Linked DNA regions of Saccharomyces cerevisiae S288C. Changing the gene in region 2 together with the main gene of any one other region gives a genetic interaction. Each region holds a gene or a part of one and is shown on either strand. Other genes may lie near its edges.

What was found.
Region 1: mutations in SHE1 (region 2) and OPI1 together harm fitness more than expected from each alone (negative genetic interaction), as found in Saccharomyces cerevisiae (2 studies listed by BioGRID).
Region 3: mutations in SHE1 (region 2) and TOS2 together harm fitness more than expected from each alone (negative genetic interaction), as found in Saccharomyces cerevisiae (2 studies listed by BioGRID).

What each region holds. Positions count from the first base shown.
Region 1 is NC_001140.6:63,070-71,474, forward strand, and holds OPI1 (transcriptional regulator OPI1), read right to left. Parts: upstream 4,388-8,405; coding exon 3,173-4,387; downstream 1-3,172. Other genes in the region: SPO11 (DNA topoisomerase (ATP-hydrolyzing)), read right to left, coding at 1-1,088; AIM17 (Aim17p), read right to left, coding at 1,393-2,790; APM2 (Apm2p), read right to left, coding at 4,662-6,479; MCO14 (4a-hydroxytetrahydrobiopterin dehydratase), read left to right, coding at 6,639-7,001; YHL017W (uncharacterized protein), read left to right, coding at 7,207-8,405. UniProt on the Saccharomyces cerevisiae protein: Negative regulator of the transcriptional complex INO2-INO4 in response to phospholipid precursor availability.
Region 2 is NC_001134.8:157,691-166,048, reverse strand, and holds SHE1 (She1p), read right to left. Parts: upstream 4,351-8,358; coding exon 3,334-4,350; downstream 1-3,333. Other genes in the region: YBL029C-A (uncharacterized protein), read left to right, coding at 1,277-1,561; ADP/ATP carrier protein PET9, read left to right, coding at 2,052-3,008; HEK2 (Hek2p), read right to left, coding at 4,720-5,865; RIB1 (GTP cyclohydrolase II), read left to right, coding at 6,356-7,393; STU1 (Stu1p), read left to right, coding at 7,660-8,358.
Region 3 is NC_001139.9:931,775-940,747, forward strand, and holds TOS2 (Tos2p), read right to left. Parts: upstream 7,219-8,973; coding exon 5,350-7,218; downstream 1-5,349. Other genes in the region: exportin CRM1, read left to right, coding at 767-4,021; mitochondrial 54S ribosomal protein uL3m MRPL9, read right to left, coding at 4,300-5,109; PET54 (Pet54p), read left to right, coding at 8,149-8,973. UniProt on the Saccharomyces cerevisiae protein: Seems to be involved in the anchoring of CDC24 to the membrane of polarized growth sites.

The DNA.
Region 1 (8,405 bases), on a different chromosome or scaffold from region 2:
ATATCCCAGCTGTTGGCAGTCAGAGATGCTATCAAATTCTTGGCTAAGGAGTAGTCGCGCTGATTCAAACTCAATAATTGAATGGATTTGTTATGCACTTCATTATTTTGTGCCAAAACTTGCGTAATACGAATTCCTTTATAGTTTGCCATCGTGCAAATATAAGCGTTGCGTTCATTCGAGTGAGTATAATTTAGGGCTATGCTAATCCCATAGGGGTCCGCATCGGTAAATATAGAACAGTCCGATATCAATTTGGAGCAATATTGTTCTAGTTTTTTTAGGAATAACCTTGTCAAGAAATCTGGAAATCCCTTACCTGTAATGAGCATGGTATTTGTACTCAACTTGTGATAATTATTTACTAATTTGGTGAAGACAGCTTCTTTTTCCACTATTACAATATTACACATACTTGTTGTCCCTAACTTGATGACCGCATCATCTTGGAAAAATGGAATTAGACAGGGCTTACCAGGGAAAATTGTTTGCTTTTGCATCTTTGGTTCATTTTCACATGTCAGAATATTGTCATAAATATCAATGGGGAAAGGCGAATAAACTAAACCCTTTTGAGCTGGTATAATGTTTAAGGATTTTCTTGGAGAGAGCTTGAAATTAAAGCGTATAACGTCCAGCCACTGGACTACGTTTGCTTGTCTTTGAAACAATTCCACGTTGGAGTAGAAGATATCTCTCACTGTAGTGTTTTTACCTAGCGGTAATTTTTCCATAACGACTTTCAATAAGTTTAAAAGGATTGCGCATCTTTTCAACTTGAACTGATGAGTGCATAGATGCGGGCCATTCAAAGGGAAGTCCAATGTTGTGTGAATGTCAGGACTGCTTGTATCGCCTTTTTTTTTTTTGTTTTGAAAGACGATTGAAATAGGCTGTTGATGTTGCTCTAATGAATTAGCCGCCAATGACAGGAAATGCTTAATATGAGCCAAAACATCTGCGTTTGAACAGGGAGTTCCGTTGGAGTGACCATTGGAGTTCAAGTGAATGGACCGTCTTTTAGGAGTGAGTGCTTTGACCAATTCCTGCCTTGTTTTATATTTTTTCCGCAATCCCTCCAAAGCCATGAGAAGGTGAACTTAGTAAATCGTAAAATCTTAAGGGTGAAGACAAATATGTGAGGTTATTTGAATGATATTTAGTTGGATATAATCACTAAATAAAGTAGATTTTCCTTGGGTAGTAGACTTTCTTTTACGTTATTCCTTTTATAATTTTAATTTTAGTTATTGATTTCAATGAAACAAAAGGAAACTGACGGCTTCTTAAAATAAATATATTTAACATGAAACATTAAAAAAAAAATTGTCACTACACAGAGAGAAAATAAATAAATATAAAGAATCACATAACTATGCTGAAAAAATGAAGTTATTTGTCATGAGGAAACTTCTCTTCCAAGAACTTTAATTTACTCTTGAAAGTATCAGAATCGAAATAGCAACCCTTTAACCATTGCTGGTTTGAGCTTGTTAAAGAGTTAGCATGCAAAATTCTCCTGTTGTTAAAGATAACACAACAGTTTTCGGGCAACTGCAATCTAAATTGATTGTTGAAGTCATTGATATGACTCTCGAACAAGTTCAACCCCCTAATGAAAGACTTAAACAAAAATCTCTCTGTTAGTTTTGCTGGGGTGGTAATTAAATTCAAGTCCAGATTATTATTTAGATCTGAGGGCTTATCATAAATTCCGAAAGTGAAAGGTGCTTGGTATGGTGGAGAGTAGTTAATGCATTTAATCAAGGCCTCATAATTACCCAGAAGAGTATTGTCCTCGTTAATGTCGTGATGTTCGATTAAAGGTTTGGATTGGTAGTACCTCTTATCGCCGTTTTCATATATATAATTTACAGGAACAATTTGTAAAGCCTCATAAGCCTCAAAATCCGATTCTCTAACATTACGGGTAGCATAAAATGCGTCCACGAAGTAATTCATGGGTCTAGTATTGGGATCTTCCCCTTCTGTAGCAGGTAGAGATTGTAGAATCTGGAAACCTGGCACATTTTCTAAAAATGGTAAATCCGTATGTAGCGGCAAGTCTTTATTGGCATAATGGGCATTAACACTTGTCGCTTGGGATGCATTCACGTCAAATGTACCTTCACCATGTACAGTCGATCTTATGGGTCCGATCCTTTCACAGATCTTTTGTATGGTAAGGCCTTCAGAGGAGGATGAAGGAGTACCGGAAATGAAAGCGATACCAAACTTTTGTAGGTTGACCAGCGTTTGGAAAAGCTTGGAGTCATCCTTAGGATCAATAAACTCGTTGTAGCTCACAGAAAGTAAGTCCTTGACGTTATCTTTCAGGATGCGCTTATTCCATAACTGGGGTCTATATCTGGATTCTTGTTTTCTTGTTGCTGGCGAAACAAAACTGGAACCTTTATAGTCGATAAAGAATTGTAAAGGGAACTGGTGATGACCGCCATCTTTCCATTTCACCACTAGAGATTTTCCGTCCTCAGAAATTTGAATGTCCTGAGGAGCGGTCAATTTCTCGTTATGATACAGTTCTCCCGTGGTCACCAGCTTGGCACTATGGGAGGCATCTCTAAGAAAAACGTTGTTAAAGCAAACGGAAACCGGCTTGCTGGACTCCTCCATGGAGAACGTAATTGTCGTAGAATCTCTATTGAAGTATGTTTTGATGATATGTCCCCGATTCGCAGCCGCAGCTGTCGCCGCAGATGTGTATGTCCTTGGTGTAGTGGTCAGTCTTGCAAGGATTCGAGATCCTCTGCATAAATTTGATCTTAGCATCTTGTGTTGGTAATTGGTTTCTAATAATTATTTTTTCTTTTTAACTTGGAATATGTTCCTGGCCAGTTGTGAAGAGTTACCCCTGATATTTGGATCTAGAAGGGCTTCTCCTTATATAGATAGCACTTTTCCTCGAGGATCAACCCCGGAAATGTATTCCCGACCCCCTTACGGCTGCGCAAAGGTCCTTACTGAGCCATTCAAAGGTAAAGAGGGTCCGATAATAATGGTAGTTCAAAAGGGGAGAAGCGGGGCTGGTACAATATCACGATTATGATTATGATTATGATTATGATTATGATTATGGATATTATATAAACTATATTATTCCGTATAATATTATTACTGGTGGTAATGCATGAAAGACCTCAATCTGTCTCGGTTAGTCCTTGCTATCCACGTTGTCCTGAGAGGGCTTTACGTAATTGCCATCCTTCTGCTGTTGCTGCCTGTACTGTTGCTGCTGTTGCAAGAAACGCTCCCTGATCATTTCTTTTACCTCCTGTTTCTGCTTCACCCATTCTTCAGCCTTGCCCAACGTGGAGTCGACTACGCCCATGACATTTCTCACCATTTCCAGGGATTCTTTGGCGAGAATGAGTACTTTCCCATTCGCAGTTACGGAGGAGGACGGCGAGGCTGAGTCGTCGCCATCCTTGTTCCTTTTTTGCTGTTGCTGTTGCAGGAGTTGCTGCTGCAAAAGTTGCTGCTGCTGCTGCTGTTGCTGTTGCTGTTGCTGTTGCTCCACTTTTTGTTCTTCACAGTTGGCATAATGAAACGAAGCATGATGCGGCAGTGATGTACTGTGGACGCTGTCGAACCAATTTGTGGGTAAGTTTAGAAGACTTTCCCGAACCTGAGATCTTGCGGGCTCCGGCAGCGAATTTGCTGTGAACTTCGATATCAGCGAGTAGACTTTCTTGACTGTGCCGACCACCTCCATTTTCACCACAATAGACTGCTCGCTGGCGTTGACCTGCTCTGAGGCATCAAAAAACTCCTCATCGTCGTCGTCTTCGTCTGACGATGTCTCGTCCTCGCCAGCTCCAGTGGTCGTCCTAGCATTTCCATCTTGCTTGTGCAAAGGATGCACCTGCTCCTTTTCAACAAGGTCCTGTAAACACGAGATTTTATCGGAAAGCTGCTTATTGGCCAGCTTTAAAAGATGCAAGCACGTTACAAGCCTCTTCTTAGACTCGATGGACATGTTCAGCTTGTACTCTTTCAAGTTGTCCTTCCCCTTGGCAATCGCCCGCGACAGCTTCTGTCTCTTGTTGGTGAAGAACTCATCGTCGTTGTAGTCGTAATCATCATGCTCGTCATCGTCATCGTCTAGCAGCCTCCCTATTGATTTCAGTGGCCTCTTGTTGGTGTTTATTTCATCGTAGAATGTCACTACGTTACTGATAATTTTGTTACTTACGCGATCCAAAATGTTTAGCGGCGTCGTAGACGACTCACTTGCCGGCATTTTGTCAGCTTGTGAGACGTCCTCTGAAGGCTGCGACTTCTGTCTGCATGATTGTTTCAACACCCCAAGTACTTCAGCCGCTTCTACCTCTTCCTCTGATAATCCTAAACGTTGATTTTCAGACATCAATGACTAGTATCTTCGTTAAAAACACTGTCCTGATACACACGCTTTAATCAGCACTGTAAACAAAATGCCACGTTCTGGCCTGATATGCTTTCTTGGCTAAGTGCAGATCGCTGTCTTGCTCCAATCCTCTTATTAATCCCTCTCATTGAGGTGGAAAAAAAAAAAATAAGAACGCCCGATTTTACCCGGTTGCATATGAAGATTATAAGGTGCCATCTATATACTAAAACGAACGTACCATTTGTCTATCTATGAGATGTCTGCGTAAGCGTCAAACAATATATGCGTACTCTTCGTCGCTGACGGTCTTGTATCTGACCCAGGGGAAAGACTGGTACTGCAATTGTGGCTCTTCGACCTTCAAGTACTCAACTTTCAGGCCACTGCATGTACAGTACGGAATCTCGAAATCAATGTTGACCAACTTATCTCGAGGAGTAACGTGGGAAGTTTGTTGGTCGTGCACTTGTCTATATAGTTCTTCCAGCCTGGGTCCCGTGCGCAAGGGCGGCGGATTCATTGAGGTTTTCATTTCTTCTTGCAGGCGGTCATATTCTTCCTGGTTGAAGAGGGGGAACTCTGCCACCATGGATGCACACGTATTTGGATCATCTTCGTCGCTGTTGTACTGTGAGCTCTTGTTTGTGCTATGTTCTCGGTGCCCCTTCATGGTTTGTATCTCCCAGAGGAGAAAATCGTCACTCAAGTTAAACACGACCTTGCCGATGTTTGCCTTGAATCTAATTTGCTTGCTGAGGTCTATTTTATATTCCTGGAAGACTTTTGTCAGGGGAATTCTCACGTTTAGCTTCGACGTTGAGTTGGTGGGTTTAAAATTTGTTTGAATTTTGGTTACAATTTGGATTTTAAACTTCTTCAGTTTAGGTTTGATTTCAAAATCTTTCAACCTCACCATCGGCGCATCCTTTACATGTCTCTTCAACTCGTATTGGCAAAGAACAAATTCGCCATCCGGCGGTATAAATTCGATTTCTCTTGCATCTGTGGCGGCCTGCAAACCAGCATCATCGTCACTATTCTTTTCTTCATCTTTTTCAATAGTGTTTATGGAATCTAGTGAAACACACTGATGAAAGCTGGAATTCGACATGAACTGGGGGTCCCTGTTCAGTATCTTGTTTATGGATATTTTCAGTTTGGGCATCCCTGATAAATAGCATCTGCACACAATCTCTCCATGTATCAGATTTTTCCTAATCACTCCTTTTTCAAAATCCATCAAGTACTGAACACGTTCAATAACATCAAGAAAGAACTCGTTTTTGGCGTAATGTATCCCCTTTGTTCTCCATGATATGGGCATTATAATCGTCTTCGCAATATCGCCATTGATGTATAAATCATTACCGTCATTGGGGAGCTCGTCATTAGCGGCTTCTTTACCGGTATCATTCTTGTTCCTTAGTGTCTCCTTGACAGTTTCCACCACGTTTATGCCCCTATTTTCTTTATTGTTTACCATTATACTTTTTAATTTACTTTTGCCCACGCTTTTCCCTTTAGTGCCCTTTTTCTTCTTCCTTTTCTTCTTCTTATCCTTCCTCTTATTAGTATTGCTGTACTCGCTATCGCTATCGCTACCGCTACTACTACTGCTCTCTTCACCAGGGCTCCACTCCTCATTGTCTACTGTAACTCTTGGTACGTTGACCTTCACACGAATGTAGTCCTTGATGATACTTGGATCCGTCACTTGTACGATACCAAAGTCTATACATTCATCAATCAACTCCAGGACAAGTAAGATGTTGTCCAGTATGACATTCTTAGTTAAGACCTCGATTTCAAAATATTTTTGTAAAAGATGATAAAATTGTTCCAAAAAGGCTAGTATAGTCATTAAGTCTATATTTGGTTTGTCTGTGGTATGTATCACTGAAACGAAATGCAGAAAGTCTCTCTTCAAATGTATAAAGAACCAATCGTTTTGGGAGAGAATTGGAGGCGACCCGTCATGATAACATTGTTTGAAACTTGAAAGAACCGACGATAGATTCGGTAGTGCTCTAATATTCTTCGATACCAATGGCTCCAGATTTTCATCCAGGATAAAAAGGCTTGACGACATGCCTTTCCTTCCTGATTTCCTCTTTACTATTTTTGGGTCCCTTTATTTGCTTTTTGTCCAAGGCATTCTCAATTTTCCAATCTGGAATTTAAGCCCTTCCAGTTATAAAACAGTAAACACAACCTACCAAAAGCAGAAAGAAACCAAAGTAAGAATACAATGCACAACAAGATTGTTAGAATCGCGTCCAGTGCACTCACAGGGGGCAAACTACTCGAGAAGCTAAAACCCTTGACCCGTTGGGAAGTTCAATGGGACCCTAATAAGACCAAATGTTTGGGAATAACAAGAGAGGTAACATTCAAGGACTACGAAACCACATGGGCCTTTTTGACTCGTGTATCGATGAGATCTCATCTATGGGGCCACCATCCCCTGATTCACACAAGTTACACCTGGGTCAAGCTGGAACTTCATACGCATGACATAGACCCGAAAGACGGGGCTCACAGCCAGCTTAGCGATATAGACGTCCGGATGGCCAAGAGAATAGATTCCTACATCGATGAGATGACAACTTGATAAGGCAGGGCAGGTCTAAAAGGCTATTGCTCTTTCCATTTTTTTTTTCCTATCGATTTTACTACTAGAAATTTTTGCTACCCATACCCATTCTCGCATTGCAACATGGAAAAACTGAAAATTGAAAAAAAAGGTATTGAAATTTCAACTGTATTGTGTAAATCATTTTTGGGCAAACTAGACACAATAACTAGCGAACAGAAAAATGGATAGAACGTGGCTATTACTGACGTGGCTGTTGCTACTCTGTGGGGTAGTTCAAGGGAACCAAGAAAGCATAAATCAAAAATATCACGATGTCTGTTCAGGGATGTATTCCAAGGAGGATTTCAATGGAAAAGTTGACCCCTATATATCGTTTACGTTGGAGGAATTGTCACTTGCTGATGAAGACGATGATGGCGAGGGGGTTAGTGTTGCTGTGTTTGATTTCCAAGATTATGAGCATATTGGTGTGCGGTTACCAAATGGAGAAATTCAGTATATTTGCGATGACTACGCATTGGATTTGGGCCTCTGTGAGGATTCGTCGGAGGGGCAATTTATCATTCAAGAGACAGCCATCGATCCGTTCACCAGTAAGGAACATAAGCTAACGAGTCAGATTTTGACTTTCACTCAACAAGAATTGGGCACTAACGACAAGGTATACTCAATTAACAAAACTGGTTACTATTGTGTGACCACGTCATCTTTCATTTCTTCCAGTTCCAAGTTTAAGGCTACAGTGAATTTTAGGAACGCTTACGGTCAATTGGACGCTTCAGAGGCGTACAAGATGCCTATTTATGCCTTTTTGGCCGTCGCTTATGCCGTCTGTACATTAGTGTACTCTTGGCTATGCTGGAAGCATAGACATGAGTTACTGCCTTTACAAAGGTACATTTTGGTATTTTGTATTTTCCTAACAGCTGATACTATTTTCGTCTGGATGTACTATATTATTGAGAACCAGAAGGGAAACTCCAGCGTCGCTCTTCATGTCTATATGGTTTTCATATCGATCTTTAGCGCCGGTAAGATGACTTTCACGCTTCTCCTCGCCTTGCTGATATCTCTTGGATATGGTATAGTATATCCAAAACTGGACCGTACATTGCTAAGAAGATGTCAAATATTTGCGATATTTACGTTTGCAGTGTGCGTTGCATTCCTGGTCCAAAAATATTCCCAGAATTCTGAGTCTTTATCCAATTTGATTTTGATTACTGCTATCCCCTTAGTATTATGTCTATTCGCTTTCTATTATTTGACACTGTCTTCAATGAACAAAACAATGACTTATTTGAGGGAACAAAACCAAGTGGTGAAATTAAACATGTACAGAAAACTGATCATATTGTGTTATATTTCGTTGTTTATACTCTTCTTAGGCTTACTAGTCTCTACTTTTGCATACGTCGG
Region 2 (8,358 bases):
TAACAGTGCAAATTCAAAAAAAAGAGTACAGATTAGAACTGGAAACCAACAGTCGCATATATATAATTTGCTTAATTCCTTTTAAACAATTGAACTTTTTCTCGAAAACACAACAAAGAGAGAAAAAAAAAAAAAAAAAAAAAAAAGAGAAAAACATGATAAAAATTGCATATATGTGGGTAGAAACCTTAAAAGTTATAATAAAGGGAATCCCACGCAGGAGCGGCATGGGAAGATAATATAATGAAACGAGCAAAAAATGGAGTCAACGTATGGCGTATTAAGATTGTGTTTATTTTTATGCAGGAAGGGGAATCGCACAGATAGTCAATAACCAACTGGCCGACTAACTGCATAAGAAATCGTTGTTTTTTTTTTCGAAGGCTCATTCAGATAAAGAAATCACTACGCGTTTTGTCTGTGAAGTCACAGATTTGAAAAATGAGAACGAAAAACATAACCACCTATGAGATTGAGTCCCTACATTTTACCATTTACGCTACTAAGTTACCCAATATCGTAACACGAAATAACAAGTTAAGGGGAGGAATGAAAAGGTTATCAAAGCGGCAGGAGACAGGAGGAATAACGCAGGACGAGACCCAAAGATAATATTTCTATAACGAAGTCGTTCGAACCCATCAGATTTCTGCTTTGATTACATACACAAGCTTTGTTTCTTTCTACAGGTGATTGTATGTGGGCTTATGGTATGCCTGCAGGACGCGTATGCATGTACGACGGCACGACCCGGAGCAAAACGGCGAGTGCTCTAACGCGGTGTATGGGCTAGATTCGTAATAGGGCTCTGGGTTTGCTGCAAGGGGTAATTATCAGCGATGGAATGACTCCGTTACCGCCCGACGCTATGTACGCCTTTTCCGCGTGCGCCGGTCTTTACCGGCAGGGGAGAATGTGGTGACGGCGGAGCCGGCGTATGGTGCCTCTACAAAAAATACGAAGTCTCATTTTAGTCACACTGATTTTCATAAGAAATGAGGAAAAAGAAAAGAGATGAAAATTGAGAAAAAAAAAAAAGCATTGTCGGGTAACAAATTATGTAGTGAAGATCAAAGGATATACACACAAACGAAGATGCGCATTAGCCACGTCCATCCCTTTCCCTTTTTCCCTTTCTACTCCGTTTTTACAATAATGTACGTTATAAAACAAGCGGCTGAAGAACAAGTTGGGAATAAATGTCAGCAAGGAAGATTGGTGTAAAGTGAAATCAGATAAGCAACTTAATACACAACCTCAAAAAGAAAAAATTACCATGTCATTCATACCTATTGTATGTGGTATGAAGAGTTTCGACTCTTCATACGATACCGTTCCCGGACATCAAAACCTGTATTGCCCGAATTGTCACAATTATAGTGTCGGCCCCATAAAAAGAAAGGAATTTTTCACTATTTGGTTTATACCGTTGGTTCCGGTCTTCTGGGGAAAACAGTTGCACTGCCCCATATGCAATTGGCGACAAGATTTTAAGAATGACGAACAGCTTAATAAAGTCATTCAAGAACAACAAAACTTACGACAAAAGCAGCCCAACTGATAACGAAATAATTTCCTTTTCTTCCTCTTATATATGTATTTATATATATGTGTTCACTATAACCATACATATATTATACAGAAGTATAGACACGATTTTTCCATACGTAACAAATAACATCACGATGCACGAGCACTGTTTCCAATGGAGAACAAGCGAAAGGCGGTAAATGCGCTATGCTGATTGGTGTAGAGCGCGGGCCAATGAGAAGGCCCCACTCTCAGAGGGTGAGGTGCGATTATCGGGGACATGTCTCCGTCGATCGGGCCCACGTCGTCGCACAATATAAATACCATTTGAGTTTTTAATATTAATTTTTCACGACAACCCACTCAAAAAAGTATATATTCACTGTTAGTTATACGGAACATTGCAATACATCTACAAGTCAAAGGAGCCCCTCTATATTATTTATATTTGTCGTTGTTCTTTTTTGTGTGCTCTTTTATACTTCAGAATCATACATTAACATACATATAAGCAAATAGCCATGTCTTCCAACGCCCAAGTCAAAACCCCATTACCTCCAGCCCCAGCTCCAAAGAAGGAATCTAACTTTTTGATTGATTTCTTAATGGGTGGTGTCAGTGCCGCTGTCGCCAAAACTGCTGCATCTCCCATCGAAAGAGTTAAACTTTTGATCCAAAACCAAGATGAAATGTTAAAACAAGGTACTTTGGACAGAAAATACGCAGGTATCTTAGACTGTTTCAAGAGAACCGCTACACAGGAAGGTGTTATCTCATTCTGGAGAGGTAACACTGCTAACGTTATCCGTTATTTCCCCACTCAAGCTTTGAATTTCGCCTTCAAGGACAAGATCAAGGCCATGTTTGGTTTCAAGAAGGAAGAAGGTTACGCCAAATGGTTTGCCGGTAACTTGGCATCTGGTGGTGCTGCTGGTGCCTTGTCATTACTATTTGTTTACTCTTTGGATTATGCAAGAACTAGATTGGCTGCTGACTCCAAGTCCTCTAAAAAGGGTGGTGCTCGTCAATTCAACGGTTTGATCGATGTCTACAAGAAGACCTTAAAATCTGATGGTGTTGCTGGTCTTTACAGAGGTTTCTTACCTTCTGTCGTTGGTATTGTTGTCTACAGAGGTCTATACTTCGGTATGTACGATTCTTTGAAGCCTCTATTGTTGACTGGTTCTTTGGAAGGTTCATTCTTGGCTTCATTCTTGTTGGGTTGGGTTGTTACTACTGGTGCTTCTACATGTTCTTACCCATTGGATACCGTTAGAAGAAGAATGATGATGACCTCCGGTCAAGCTGTTAAGTACGACGGTGCCTTTGACTGTTTGAGGAAGATTGTTGCTGCTGAAGGTGTTGGTTCTCTATTCAAGGGTTGTGGTGCTAACATCTTAAGAGGTGTCGCAGGTGCTGGTGTTATCTCAATGTACGACCAACTGCAAATGATCTTGTTTGGTAAGAAGTTCAAATAAGTCTAATCTGGCTTGATTCTTAATCTAAATTCTTTCTCACATTTTCCTTTTTTTCTTCTTTGGATTTTTGGTGTTTAATGAGTGACACGATTTGTTTTGATAATATTATTATCCTCCTATTTTTTTAGAAATTCTTTTCAACAAGAATCAAAGATTCATAAAAAAAGAAAACGATGAAATTTTTTGAACAACTTTTACGTATAAAGAAGAAAAAAAAAAAATTCTAAATATCCAGTAAATAGTTTTATATTAGTAGTATTCTTTCCCACTTTTTAAATGTCATCACATGATGTTTCTTATAAAATGCAATTTTTTTATTACTTAATCACCGCCAAATAGGTCTATCACTCTTTGTGCCGGTGGCAGTACTTTGCTTAAGGTTACTGGACAATGAACCACTTGTCTTACTTTTAACCAACCGAGTCTTTACATTTGTGTGTTCCTTGGATTTTGCAGAGGTTCCTGACGATAAGTTGTTCATAGACGTCGACCTAGAGAACGTTGTTTGCTTGTAAAGTCTATCAAAAACGGAAACTGAATTCTTCAATTGCGAATTTGTTCCTTGCGCAACTGGCGTGCGTTCTACCGGTTTGGTTTTGGCGTGTAAATCTCTTATTGATATCGATCTGTGTACTTTAGATCTTGGTATCGATGAAGCTGTCGAAGAGGAGGATGTATTACGGTGAGCGGAATTGATCTTGTTCAAAGAATTCGTAGTGGGCATTAGAAAGTTTGGTTTGTGCATAAATGGCTTGGGCTTTGACAATGGTGTGTTCTTTATTGAATTAATGTTAGAATTTGCTTGCATAGATCTCGCTCTAGCCACTATGTCATTACCATTAACCAATGAGTTCCGTAATTTCAATCTTCGTATTCTTCTTGTGATATCGTTTACCACTGGTGTAGTGTATGGAATTGAGCGGGACGGTCTCGACCTTTTCATCGAATCCGATCGATCCTGTGGGATTGCATGTTGTGACTTTCTCTTGGGCGTATGTAAAAGGGTATAATGTGTGTCTAGCGACTCCATCTGGCCAAATTGAGAGTCGTGCTTTGCTTGGAAGAACTCATTAATATTATACGAGCCCGATTTTGGTTCATTGTTCTTGTCGCCGTTGTATTGTTGTTCGGATTGATCTTTTAAAAATTCAAATTTTGAGCTAGCTCTAGAATCCAGTTCACTTAATACAGAATTTCCTAATCTTTTGGAAACGCCAATAGTCTCGATGATATTGCTATTGTTATTTGAATGAAAGTCTATACTCATATGCGGCGGCGTGAAACCATTAATTTGTGAAGTGGTGTCTTTTTCGTTATGCTCTTCTTGGAGTTTATCATTCATCCATGAAGATAATATGTGTTCTAGAGCTGTAATTGCATGTTTATTGTTTATTTGTTTATACCATTGCCTAGAAACTTACGATTTTTTCATGTTATTTTCCCCTTCCCTCTCTGTGCCTCTAGCCGGCGATGCGCGAAATGTTTAAAGCAAGAATTTCGATAGTAATAAAGAAAATACAACGGCTTTATTGAGTATTTATAAAACGTTTTTTTTTAATTCAAAATACATATACATGAATAAATATATACATATTGAATCATTTTTTTCCCTTTAATAAAAATACAGTTTAAACTAGTAATGATGCAACATTATTCGTTAAGATGATAGTTTGTTTTGTCTGTGTGGGACGTGCGCACGCACACGTATATACTACGACTGCTCCTCTTTGTTATCATGATTCTCTTGAGGTTCTTCCTTCTCTTCCAAGAAAGAAGCAGAATCAGAGCGTTCAGTAACAACAGTGGCATCTCCTTCGGCAGCTTCCAATTTTCTCTTGTAGTTTTCACGTTTCTCAATTTCAGTATTCAGGTTCTTCAAAAGCATGGACTCAGCAAGTTTGACATTCTTAGGAAATTTACTTGTGATTATGAATTTTCTAAAATTTTCGTCTTTATCATCGTCATCCTTCCTTTCCACGACAATATTGGTTTTTGTGAAAGTTTTCAAATTCTTAATTCTGTTCATTCCACGGCCAATAATGGCGCCTACATACAGTTCTGGAATCTTCAATTCGATCCTAGTGTTAGATGAGGTAGAAGGGGAAGTTGGCTCACCGGAGGACTTTTTCAGATGAGGGAAATAAGATCTTTCTGTGCTGAATCTGACGTCAACGTCACTCAAGATGATCTCGCTAATTTCGATAAGTACATTGGTGATGGATCCTGGGAAACCCTGGATCTCGATAATTCTCTCGTCGCTAGCAGGTAAGAAGTCCTTGGAAGCCACGATCTTAACGCCGTGCTTATTGATCAGGGACTTGATGGTGGCGCCTGCTTTCCCGATAATCGATGAGATATGGGAATTGGCCACAATGAGCCTCACATAACCGATGTCCTCCAGTTGCTGCAGATCTCTGATCTCGTCCTTTGAGGGAGCTGGTAAAATATGGTTCAAAAAGTGGAAGTAGTAGTGCTCTTCCGCTTCGCCCTCAGCTGCGTCCTCATTTTCGGGATTCCGTTTGTTAAGCACGTCAACAATATCACCAATGGCATTGGCCACATTGATTACGTTCCCAGCACAGGACAGGATCCTGTCAGAGCAACCGGGCACCTTTTCAGAAATACCGATCTTGACGGCGTTTGCAGCTCTTATGCGTGAGATGGTGGAGCCCTTAGTGCCAATGATCTTGGCAGCCTCTTTCAATGACAGCAAAAGCCTGTGATTGATGGTGGGTTGAGCGGTGGTGCCAACAACGGGGGCGCCGCCAGTGGCGGCGCTGCCGGCATCACTGGAGCCGCCGTTGGTATTGTTTGTGGGAATTGCAACGGGAGTAGCAGCTTCGAAGAACTGTGACATGGCTGGTATATATACTAATGCTGTCTCTAAGTTACCCGATAAGTTGATGCTTTGTTGTACAGGGGACGCGCGATAGGAGTGGGGAGCAATATGCTTTTACTTCGTATGCCAAGTAGTTATATATGCTCGGGTACTTATGCTCCAGATTATAGTCTTGTTTGTTGTTTGGCTGAGCGGCCGGACACACAGAAAAAAAACAAAAGGGCTTTCGTTAAAAGGGATAGGGTAATGTCTAGACTTAGCATAGGGCTAAAACAGAAATAGTAGGGTCTATACCGTTTTTGAAAACAAGTTGTGTAGGGTGAGACTTTTTCTTTTTCCTTTGAGTTTTTCTTTTTCTTTTTACGATTTGTCAGAAATTAGTCGGACGCTCTTGTGGGGTGAGCGCCAGCGCCGCTATAGTATATATAAAGAAGTTGCTGTGCTGGCGTGGACAATAATTGAGTCATTACAAAAAGTGGCGTACATAAAACTACAACAAACCTACAGGATGACCATAGATAACTACGACAACAGTAAACAGGATAGCAGCAAATACGAGGTTAGTGGTACGGGTGATGGCAGGAACGGCGATGGCGGCTTGCCTCTAGTACAATGTGTCGCAAGAGCTCGTATCCCAACCACACAGGGTCCGGATATCTTTTTACATCTTTACAGTAACAACAGGGACAACAAGGAACATCTAGCCATTGTGTTTGGTGAAGACATACGGTCGCGCTCGCTATTCCGTAGAAGACAGTGCGAGACGCAACAAGATAGAATGATCAGGGGCGCTTATATTGGCAAACTGTATCCCGGCAGAACTGTGGCAGACGAAGACGATAGACTCGGATTAGCTCTGGAGTTTGATGATAGTACAGGTGAGTTATTAGCTTCCAAAGCCACTACATGGGACGCCCATAACGACACGCTGGTACGGATCCATTCTGAATGTTACACCGGTGAAAACGCATGGAGCGCCCGTTGTGATTGTGGTGAACAATTCGATAGGGCCGGTAGGCTTATCGCTTGCGACCACGAACCCACAAGCAACATCAAAGGTGGAAACGGCCATGGTGTTATCGTGTATCTAAGACAAGAGGGTCGTGGCATCGGGTTAGGTGAGAAACTCAAGGCCTACAACCTGCAAGACTTAGGTGCTGACACAGTGCAGGCCAACTTAATGCTGAAACATCCCGTGGATGCTAGGGACTTCTCGCTGGGTAAGGCTATTTTGCTGGATCTTGGCATCGGTAATGTCAGGCTGCTGACAAATAACCCGGAAAAGATAAAACAGGTAGATCATGCGCCTTACCTTAAGTGCGTTGAACGAGTGCCTATGGTACCCATACACTGGACAAACTCCAGTGAAGGCATAGACTCCAAGGAGATAGAAGGTTATCTCAGGACCAAGATAGAAAGAATGGGTCATTTACTAACGGAGCCTCTGAAACTTCATACAAACCCTCAACCTACTGAGACAAGTGAAGCCCAAAACCAAAACCGTATGAACTCTGCGTTGTCATCAACATCGACGCTGGCAATATAAACACAAGTGTAGCATAATTATTAGTACATATAGTGCTTTTTTTGTAATGAAACGAAAATACCATGTTATTTTAATGCGTTACCCCGTCGGCGCGTATTGGCGCATTAACATCTTTATAGAAAATCAAATTATTTACTTATTTATTCTAAAACGCTAAACATCTATTTATTTACATTTGAGGTTGAAACTTCCCTTCATCCGATTGACAGGCATATTTAGCGGTAATTATTAGGGTTTTTGGAGAGACCTTGTATTCTTCAGAAATAATGTCGTCCTTCAACAATGAGACCAATAATAACAGCAACACTAATACACATCCAGACGATTCCTTCCCTTTGTATACCGTATTCAAGGACGAGTCTGTACCCATCGAGGAAAAAATGGCACTGCTTACACGGTTCAAAGGACATGTAAAAAAGGAACTAGTTAACGAATCGTCGATCCAAGCTTATTTCGCTGCGTTACTGTTCATCTCCGGCCATTACGCTTACCGTTCGTACCCGCGGTTAATCTTCCTATCACATTCCTCGCTTTGTTACCTTATCAAACGTGTGGCCATGCAGTCTCCAGTACAATTCAATGACACTCTAGTTGAGCAATTACTAAACCACTTAATTTTCGAGTTGCCTAATGAGAAGAAATTTTGGCTGGCTTCCATTAAAGCCATTGAAGCCATTTATTTGGTTAATCCATCGAAGATCCAAGCTATTCTAGCAAATTTCTTGCGAAGACCAAGTGAAAACCAAAACGGAGATTACCTGAATAGGATAAAATCTACATTATTGACCATCGATGAGTTGATCCAGATCAACGAGAAAAATAATTCAAATCATTTGCAACTACTGAGGTTTTTCATGCTGTCTTTCACCAACCTTTTAAATAACAACCTAAATGAACACGCAAACGATGATAACAATAATGTAATAATAGAGCTTATTTTCGATATAATGTACAAGTATTTGAAA
Region 3 (8,973 bases), on a different chromosome or scaffold from region 2:
GTTATGAGAAGCTGTCATCGATGTTAGAGGAAGCTGAAGTGCAAGGATTGATAATATAATAGGATAATGAAACATATAAAACGGAATGAGGAATAATCGTAATATTAGTATGTAGAAATATAGATTCCATTTTGAGGATTCCTATATCCTCGAGGAGAACTTCTAGTATATTCTGTATACCTAATATTATAGCCTTTATCAACAATGGAATCCCAACAATTATCTCATCATTTACCCATTTCTCATGTTGTGTACACATTATATACCTCCCAGTTACTGTCAATCCTCTCCTCTTATATCGTTTCAATACAAATAATATATTATGAAGGGCAATATTACATCATTACCCGGAGATATATACTATTTGGAATGATCTTTCTTTATAAGAAAAAAAAAGAATTTCGCAGATTTCCCTGGCTTTCCTTATTCTTCCTACGTTAGCATTATTATGAATTATCGCTAATAGCAAAGGCAAAAAAGATTATCAACTGCAGGATATTCGGTCACAACTTTGACATAGATCTTGAGAACCTCAACACTATTCATTTCTCTGGCCTGATTATTTTAAGTAAAGTCAATCATTGTTAAGTTTTCTTTTGTTCTTTTCTATCATTCTCGCTCTTTCAATTACTTACACCTACAATAATAGACGTTGACCTGTGAAAGGCAAGAAACTTAACTAATAGTATAATTAAGAAGAAGTTAACATTTTACTCTACATTATTGAAACCGCTCACTGACTTCAAAAATAGGATAAAAACATAATATGGAAGGAATTTTGGATTTTTCTAACGACTTAGATATCGCTCTATTAGATCAGGTGGTATCTACATTCTATCAAGGTTCAGGTGTTCAGCAAAAGCAAGCCCAAGAGATTTTGACTAAATTTCAAGATAATCCAGACGCTTGGCAAAAAGCTGACCAAATTCTTCAATTCTCAACTAACCCTCAATCAAAATTTATTGCCCTTTCCATCCTTGATAAATTAATTACTAGAAAATGGAAATTGTTGCCGAATGATCATAGAATTGGAATTAGGAACTTCGTTGTTGGTATGATTATCTCCATGTGCCAAGACGATGAAGTATTTAAAACACAAAAGAACCTGATCAATAAGTCGGACTTGACTTTGGTCCAAATTTTAAAGCAGGAATGGCCTCAGAATTGGCCTGAATTTATCCCAGAACTAATCGGCAGTTCAAGTTCCTCTGTTAATGTTTGTGAAAATAACATGATCGTTTTGAAACTGCTATCCGAAGAAGTCTTCGATTTCTCTGCGGAACAAATGACACAAGCTAAAGCTTTACATTTGAAAAATTCCATGTCAAAAGAATTTGAACAGATTTTTAAATTATGTTTTCAAGTTTTGGAACAAGGTTCTTCAAGCTCTCTAATAGTGGCAACCTTAGAATCTTTACTGAGATATTTACATTGGATTCCTTATCGTTATATTTATGAAACCAATATTTTGGAATTATTAAGCACCAAATTCATGACATCGCCTGATACAAGAGCCATCACATTGAAATGTTTGACTGAGGTTTCAAATCTAAAAATTCCACAAGATAATGATTTGATAAAAAGACAAACTGTACTTTTTTTCCAAAATACTCTACAACAAATTGCCACAAGTGTGATGCCCGTGACTGCCGATCTGAAAGCCACTTATGCAAATGCTAACGGTAATGATCAATCTTTCTTACAAGATTTAGCAATGTTTCTAACTACATATCTCGCTCGTAATAGGGCCCTTCTAGAGAGTGATGAATCGTTAAGAGAGTTGTTGTTGAATGCGCACCAATACTTAATTCAATTATCCAAAATCGAAGAAAGAGAACTATTTAAGACGACATTGGATTACTGGCATAATTTAGTAGCAGATTTGTTTTATGAGGTTCAGCGTTTGCCTGCTACCGAAATGAGCCCATTGATACAGTTATCAGTCGGTTCACAAGCTATCTCAACTGGATCTGGCGCCCTAAATCCGGAATATATGAAAAGATTTCCATTAAAAAAACATATTTACGAAGAAATTTGTTCACAGTTGAGATTGGTCATTATTGAAAATATGGTTAGACCAGAAGAAGTCCTTGTGGTTGAAAATGATGAAGGAGAAATTGTTAGAGAGTTCGTTAAAGAATCAGACACTATCCAATTATACAAATCAGAAAGAGAGGTTCTTGTATATTTGACCCATTTGAATGTTATCGATACAGAAGAAATCATGATCAGTAAATTGGCAAGGCAAATCGATGGTTCCGAATGGTCATGGCATAATATCAACACTTTATCTTGGGCTATTGGTTCCATATCTGGTACAATGAGCGAAGATACTGAAAAAAGGTTTGTAGTTACTGTTATTAAAGATTTACTAGATTTAACGGTCAAGAAAAGGGGTAAAGATAATAAAGCTGTTGTTGCATCGGATATTATGTACGTCGTGGGCCAATATCCTAGATTTTTGAAGGCTCACTGGAATTTTCTAAGAACAGTTATTTTGAAACTTTTTGAATTTATGCATGAAACTCATGAGGGTGTTCAGGATATGGCATGTGACACATTCATTAAGATTGTTCAAAAATGTAAATATCATTTTGTTATTCAACAACCCCGTGAGTCTGAGCCTTTCATCCAAACAATAATTAGGGATATTCAAAAGACAACTGCTGACCTACAGCCGCAACAGGTCCATACATTTTACAAGGCTTGTGGTATTATTATTTCTGAAGAAAGAAGCGTAGCGGAGAGAAATAGATTATTAAGTGATTTGATGCAACTGCCAAATATGGCTTGGGACACTATAGTGGAACAATCCACTGCTAACCCAACATTGTTGTTAGATTCTGAAACTGTCAAAATTATTGCGAATATTATAAAAACCAATGTAGCTGTCTGCACCTCAATGGGAGCAGATTTCTATCCACAGTTGGGTCACATCTATTACAATATGCTTCAGCTATACAGAGCTGTTTCTTCGATGATTTCTGCTCAAGTTGCCGCAGAAGGTCTAATTGCTACGAAGACACCAAAGGTTCGTGGTTTGAGAACCATCAAAAAAGAGATTCTGAAGCTTGTTGAGACCTATATATCCAAGGCGAGAAATTTGGATGATGTCGTTAAAGTGTTAGTTGAGCCATTATTGAACGCTGTACTTGAAGACTATATGAACAACGTTCCTGATGCAAGGGACGCCGAAGTGCTAAATTGTATGACAACAGTAGTAGAAAAGGTTGGTCATATGATCCCACAAGGTGTTATTTTAATTTTACAGAGTGTATTTGAATGCACTTTGGACATGATTAACAAAGACTTCACAGAATATCCAGAGCATCGTGTAGAATTTTACAAGTTATTGAAGGTCATCAATGAGAAATCATTTGCTGCATTTTTGGAACTACCTCCGGCTGCCTTTAAATTGTTTGTTGACGCTATTTGTTGGGCGTTCAAACATAACAATAGAGATGTCGAAGTTAATGGTCTACAGATTGCATTAGACCTAGTGAAAAACATTGAAAGAATGGGAAATGTCCCATTTGCAAATGAGTTCCACAAGAATTATTTTTTCATTTTTGTCAGTGAAACGTTTTTTGTTTTAACCGATTCCGACCACAAATCCGGTTTTTCTAAGCAAGCTTTGTTACTAATGAAGTTGATTTCTTTGGTTTATGATAACAAGATTTCGGTACCATTATATCAAGAAGCTGAGGTACCACAAGGAACTTCAAATCAAGTCTACTTAAGCCAATATTTGGCTAATATGTTAAGTAATGCATTCCCCCATTTAACATCCGAACAAATCGCAAGTTTTCTCTCTGCATTAACTAAACAATACAAAGACTTAGTGGTCTTCAAAGGCACTTTGAGGGACTTTTTGGTGCAAATCAAAGAAGTCGGAGGTGATCCAACAGATTATTTGTTTGCTGAAGATAAAGAGAATGCATTAATGGAACAGAATAGACTAGAGAGGGAAAAAGCTGCCAAGATTGGTGGGTTATTAAAACCTTCCGAACTTGATGATTAGAGGCGGTGGCGTATCATTCTTTAAATTTCCAATATTTTTTCCCTTTTATTAACTAGTCTCTAATTTATAACCACGGGGTTTTCATTTCTTTTTCACTTCATATTGTATGTAAATTGGTTCTTCAAAGTTCCAATACTCTAATATAGTACTAAATACTATTTAGCCAACTTCATGGAAAAGTAAAGAATATTATTTGAAGATTCTTAAGTGATTACCCATTTTATTGTTATTATTGATGTATGTACATGATTGTAGTAAAATACTTATACGCCTTATGCTCAAGTTTTTTTGATTGCATCTTGAATTTTAACGAAACTGTTTTTGGGCCCAGCCACAGAGCCTTTAACCCAAATAACATTATTTTCATCGTCGACTTTCAAAACTTTAACATTTTGGATAGTAACATGCTCGTTTCCCATATGACCAGGCATCTTTCTTCCTGGCAGTACCCTACCTGGGTCTTGGTTTTGACCATAAGAACCACCGTGTCTATGCATAATAGATGTACCATGAGATGCTCTCAAACCCTTGAATCCATACCTTTTCATCACACCAGTAAAACCTTTGCCTTTGCTGACTGATCTGACGTCAACATATTGGCCTTCTTTGAAAAAAGAGGGTTTCAATAATGTGCCAGGTGGTATTAATCCCTTTTCATCTTTAACTCGGAATTCGGCCACATGCTCTTTTGGGTTAACAACTTTAGAAGCGAAATGACCAAGCATTTGTCTGCTAACTTTAGACAAATGCCTTGATCCGTACCCTACTTGACACGCGAAGTACCCATTGACCTCCGAAGTTCTATGCATTATTACTTCAACATTATTAACTTCTAATATAGTAGCGGCGCTTCTTTCACCAGTAGATTTATCAAAATAAGGCATCATTCCCTTCTTACGAGTAATTAAACCGCATCTTTTTGGTAGCCATTTTCTCGCATTTGCCAGTTCAGGTGAGTGATTAATCGCTGGAGCCTCGGTTGTTATACTGTTAGCAATACTAGGAGCCACTAGAAAAGGCCGAGTAGAAGAATATCTAACATGAAGTTTTGATATGCTAAATATTGATCCCTGTAGGAACTTCGACATGGCTATATTTGTTCTCTCTTGCTTTCAAAGAGTTGCCCTTTCTCGTCCCAGTTGTCAATTTATCGTCCATATATTTTTCAATAAAGTTCGTTTGACAAGGGATTACCCGAAAACAAATATCTCGCGACTGTAATAGGAGAAATGGCATTAGCATTTCAATTAAGGAAAGAAGAGGATCATCGAGAAACGAATTTATGGTGCTTATTTACTGTTACAACATTTCATGATTTTGAATTTTATTTATACATGTACATTCTCGTACGGTGTTATTTCGTAATTATGGGATGTGCCCAGTTGCTTCCTTAAGTCTTCCGTAGAAGCTTTAAAAGGTAAGATTTCCCCCACACTAGGAGGCTGCAAGATGTCAGTGTCATCCAATAACCCACTAACACGGAAATTTATTGCATTTGACAACGTTGACGGCGGTTGTGATAAAGAAGATGATGTTGTAGTGGATGAGTTACCAGGGAGATATTGGGCCTTTATTAAATTTCTTAAAGATCCTGCAGGCTTATAGCGAGGTTTCATAGAAAGTTCTGATGGGTTGGTCATAACAACACTTTGTCTAAGCTGATATGGAAGGGGCGTACAAAATTGCTTTGTCAAAGATGTTGACGGTATTTTCGTAGGCGAACTGTAAAACATTTCAGGATGATCCATTGGATTCAACGCTGTCCCATTAAGCCTAGCTGTAGGTACATGTTTTAGTGTTTTTGGAGGTTTAGGCCTTCCTTTGAATGACGTCAAGGAATGCGAAGAGGTGGAATAAATGAATTGGGTAGGCGTGGGCAAATCTCCGATGTTCTCATAATTTTGAGGATGTTCTAACGGGAGGGGATAATTATAGTAGTAATTGTCATCATTGCTCTGGTTGCAGTGATCTATAAAATATGTAGAATATTGCTGAGCAGAAGTAAGATTTGACTGACCCGAACCCTCCGAAAGGGCCCGTACGGGAGCCTTTGCAGAGTGAATATGGTCCTTAGCGACCGTGTCAGAATATATTGATGAGGTAATTCTCGTTGAAAGACCATTCGGTGGTGGGAATGTAAGAGATAGAGACGATTCGGGAATCACTTTTTCTCTGGTTGCTACTTCTGAATATACTGACGATGCAATGTTTTTATTCTCTTGTGGTGCCGGCACTTGCAGATAATCAGTTGCATCTTCATATTCCTCATTGGCGCTGGAACTGGAATCAATTTCTTGGACAGTTGTACTTCCGAAGTGACTCTGTTCAATTAATGTAGTATCATTTGGATTGTCTTGAGAGCTCATATTTACACTTTTTCTTGTAGCGATGTTTAATTTAGAGTCACGCCGTATCGAAGAAGTTACAGAGGATCGTATCGTGCTATTACTTTTCTCAAAATAAATGTTATAAATGCTTCTTATTCTGTCAATATTTTCTTCCTCCTCTCTCGAACACTGAGGCTCGAGCCCGCTACGACTCGTATAATTCGATTTAAGTCGATTATCGTTGTTATGGCTGGACTTTTCATTTACATCAGGATTTGACGTACTATCACATCTTTGATCACAGTCTTGCCCAGTATTTGAGTGTTGTGGTGAAACAATCAGCTCAGAATTCTCTAACGATTCGAAAGAAATCTTATTCGAAAGGTCAATGTGCTTGGAGGGGACCGATAACTTGCTGTTATTCTGCGAAGCCAGTGAAGCAATATTATAAGCGGAGGGTGCATGCTCATTGATACGCCTCACATAATCTTTGAAAGATTGTGAGTTTTCGATTGACGGTTGCAAAAAATCGTCATAACCACCATAAATAAACCTCTTTTCTGTGGCATTGCTGTCTGAGTTTGCAGAATTCATAGAAGAATCCATCTTCGGTAAATAGTATAAATCGCCCTCAAAATTTGGGTCAAAATCCTGCATAGAAGGTTCTTTTTTGCATCTCCTATATACTACTATTAAAACGACGGATAGTACTATAATAATAGCACCAATGGGAACAGCAACGGCCACTGCAACAGTGACGTTAGATGAATCGGTTCTTTTCTGAAGAAATGTCAGTGATACGCGAGATTTGTCTGGTATAGCCTCTCTTTTTTGGCAAGAATTTTCTTTATAGCGGTAGTGACTAAACATGGACGCTTTATAGCATCTAAAGTAGGGGAAGCACTATTTCTCACTTGCAGTTACTATGAAGTATATTTCGATCGCACAAGTTGCTTTACTATGCTATTGCAGCCTAAGATAAAGGCAACAACCGATGAAACAAGAGTAAAGGGTATACTCTTTTATGCAAATGCTCCTTTACGCGACTGGTCATTATTGAACATCGAACACTTTCGAATAGTTTAGTCTCAAATGTATCGAACGCGAAACTTTAAAAGCGCATTCTTGTTCTTTTTTCGCGACTTGCTCCTGTGATCGTCTTATTTCTGCTCCATATTATCTATTCTTTACTTAAAGCTTCCTAAAAATGCAGTCAGGATAAAAGCAAATGCTTCAATGGAGTTAATATATATACCGAAACAAGAAAATGAGTTCTATATATTTGTTCCATGGACTCATGAATCAAATTTGTAGAAAAATAAAATAGAAAAGATAAACGCCCTCCTTACTCATTGAGAAAAAGGGCAGAAAAGTTCCAAAAAATATGGCAAGCCCACAGTAACGGACAGCTTTACCTGTTTCTATGGAGACAACACCCGGATGGTTCTGGTAAAAGGCAAGAACCATGTTCGTTATAAGTTCTATAGGCAATAAAAGGCCCACAGTTCTTGATGTTGACCTCCCTCCGCCATTGATCTGTAAAGCTGCTTGCAGGTTTTAAAACAAAAAGAAAGAAAAGTATTTTAAAATATATAGGAGGAAAGAAACATTTAACAAAAAGTCTTACTATGCGCTTTTTATACTGAGCACTCCGTTTCTACAAAATTTTCAATTTTTTTTTTCATATTCGTTAATCGTGATGAGAATACTAACACCACGAACTCAAATAGGAAGTTAACAATTTAGGGTAGGAGTGCCAGACTCTACCCATTATCCCTTTGTCATCGATGTAAAGCAGATATGAAGGCTTCTAGTAAAGCTATTAAATTAGTACTGGACCATCTGAAGTCCACGGGAAGAGTTCTTGGCTCCGTAGAGTCAGGAAATTCAGCAACAATAAGTGAGAAAACGGCATCTGTTAATAAGCAGCAGCAGTTGCAGGAAAAGAAACCTTCTGTCCTACAATATAGAAGCTACAATCCATATTTAGTTAAGGAGGATTTCCTGTCAATTCTGCCAGAAAATTTGTATAAAAAGAGGGGACAATTTACAAATGAGCTTGACTTTCAGTTGATGAAAGTCAGGGACCCTAAATACTTCCAGTTCAAGGATCAGTATTACTTGTTTTTTAATGATTATAACTCGCTTACTGAGTATATCAAATTAACAAAACACTCGCGAATAAACAAGATCAGGGTGAAAATGACGCCATTGGCGCAACCCTTGCCAACCCTGTTAACAAAATTACAAAGATATTCAAAAAATCTATATAACGCATTCCGATCATCTGAGCAATATTTTGAGGGACTAAACGAAAAAGTCGATGTTAGTGGAGAGTTCACTACCAATCAGTTACGGAGTATCCTTGATTCGGTGGAAGAAATAGAAAATAAGTCCGTATTAGTCTGGAATATACCCACTAAATTACGGTCGCACGATATATTGAATTATTTTTGGTTTTACAACATAAGGTCTAGCTTCAAGATATACTGGGATGATGAAATGAAAAGAAATCTACGATTTATATCTTTCGAAAACTCGCATGACGCCTACCGCTTTAAAAGAAACTATCATGGATTATTGGCTAAAGAGCTATTGACCCTGTCAGAAAAGGGAGATGCAGCT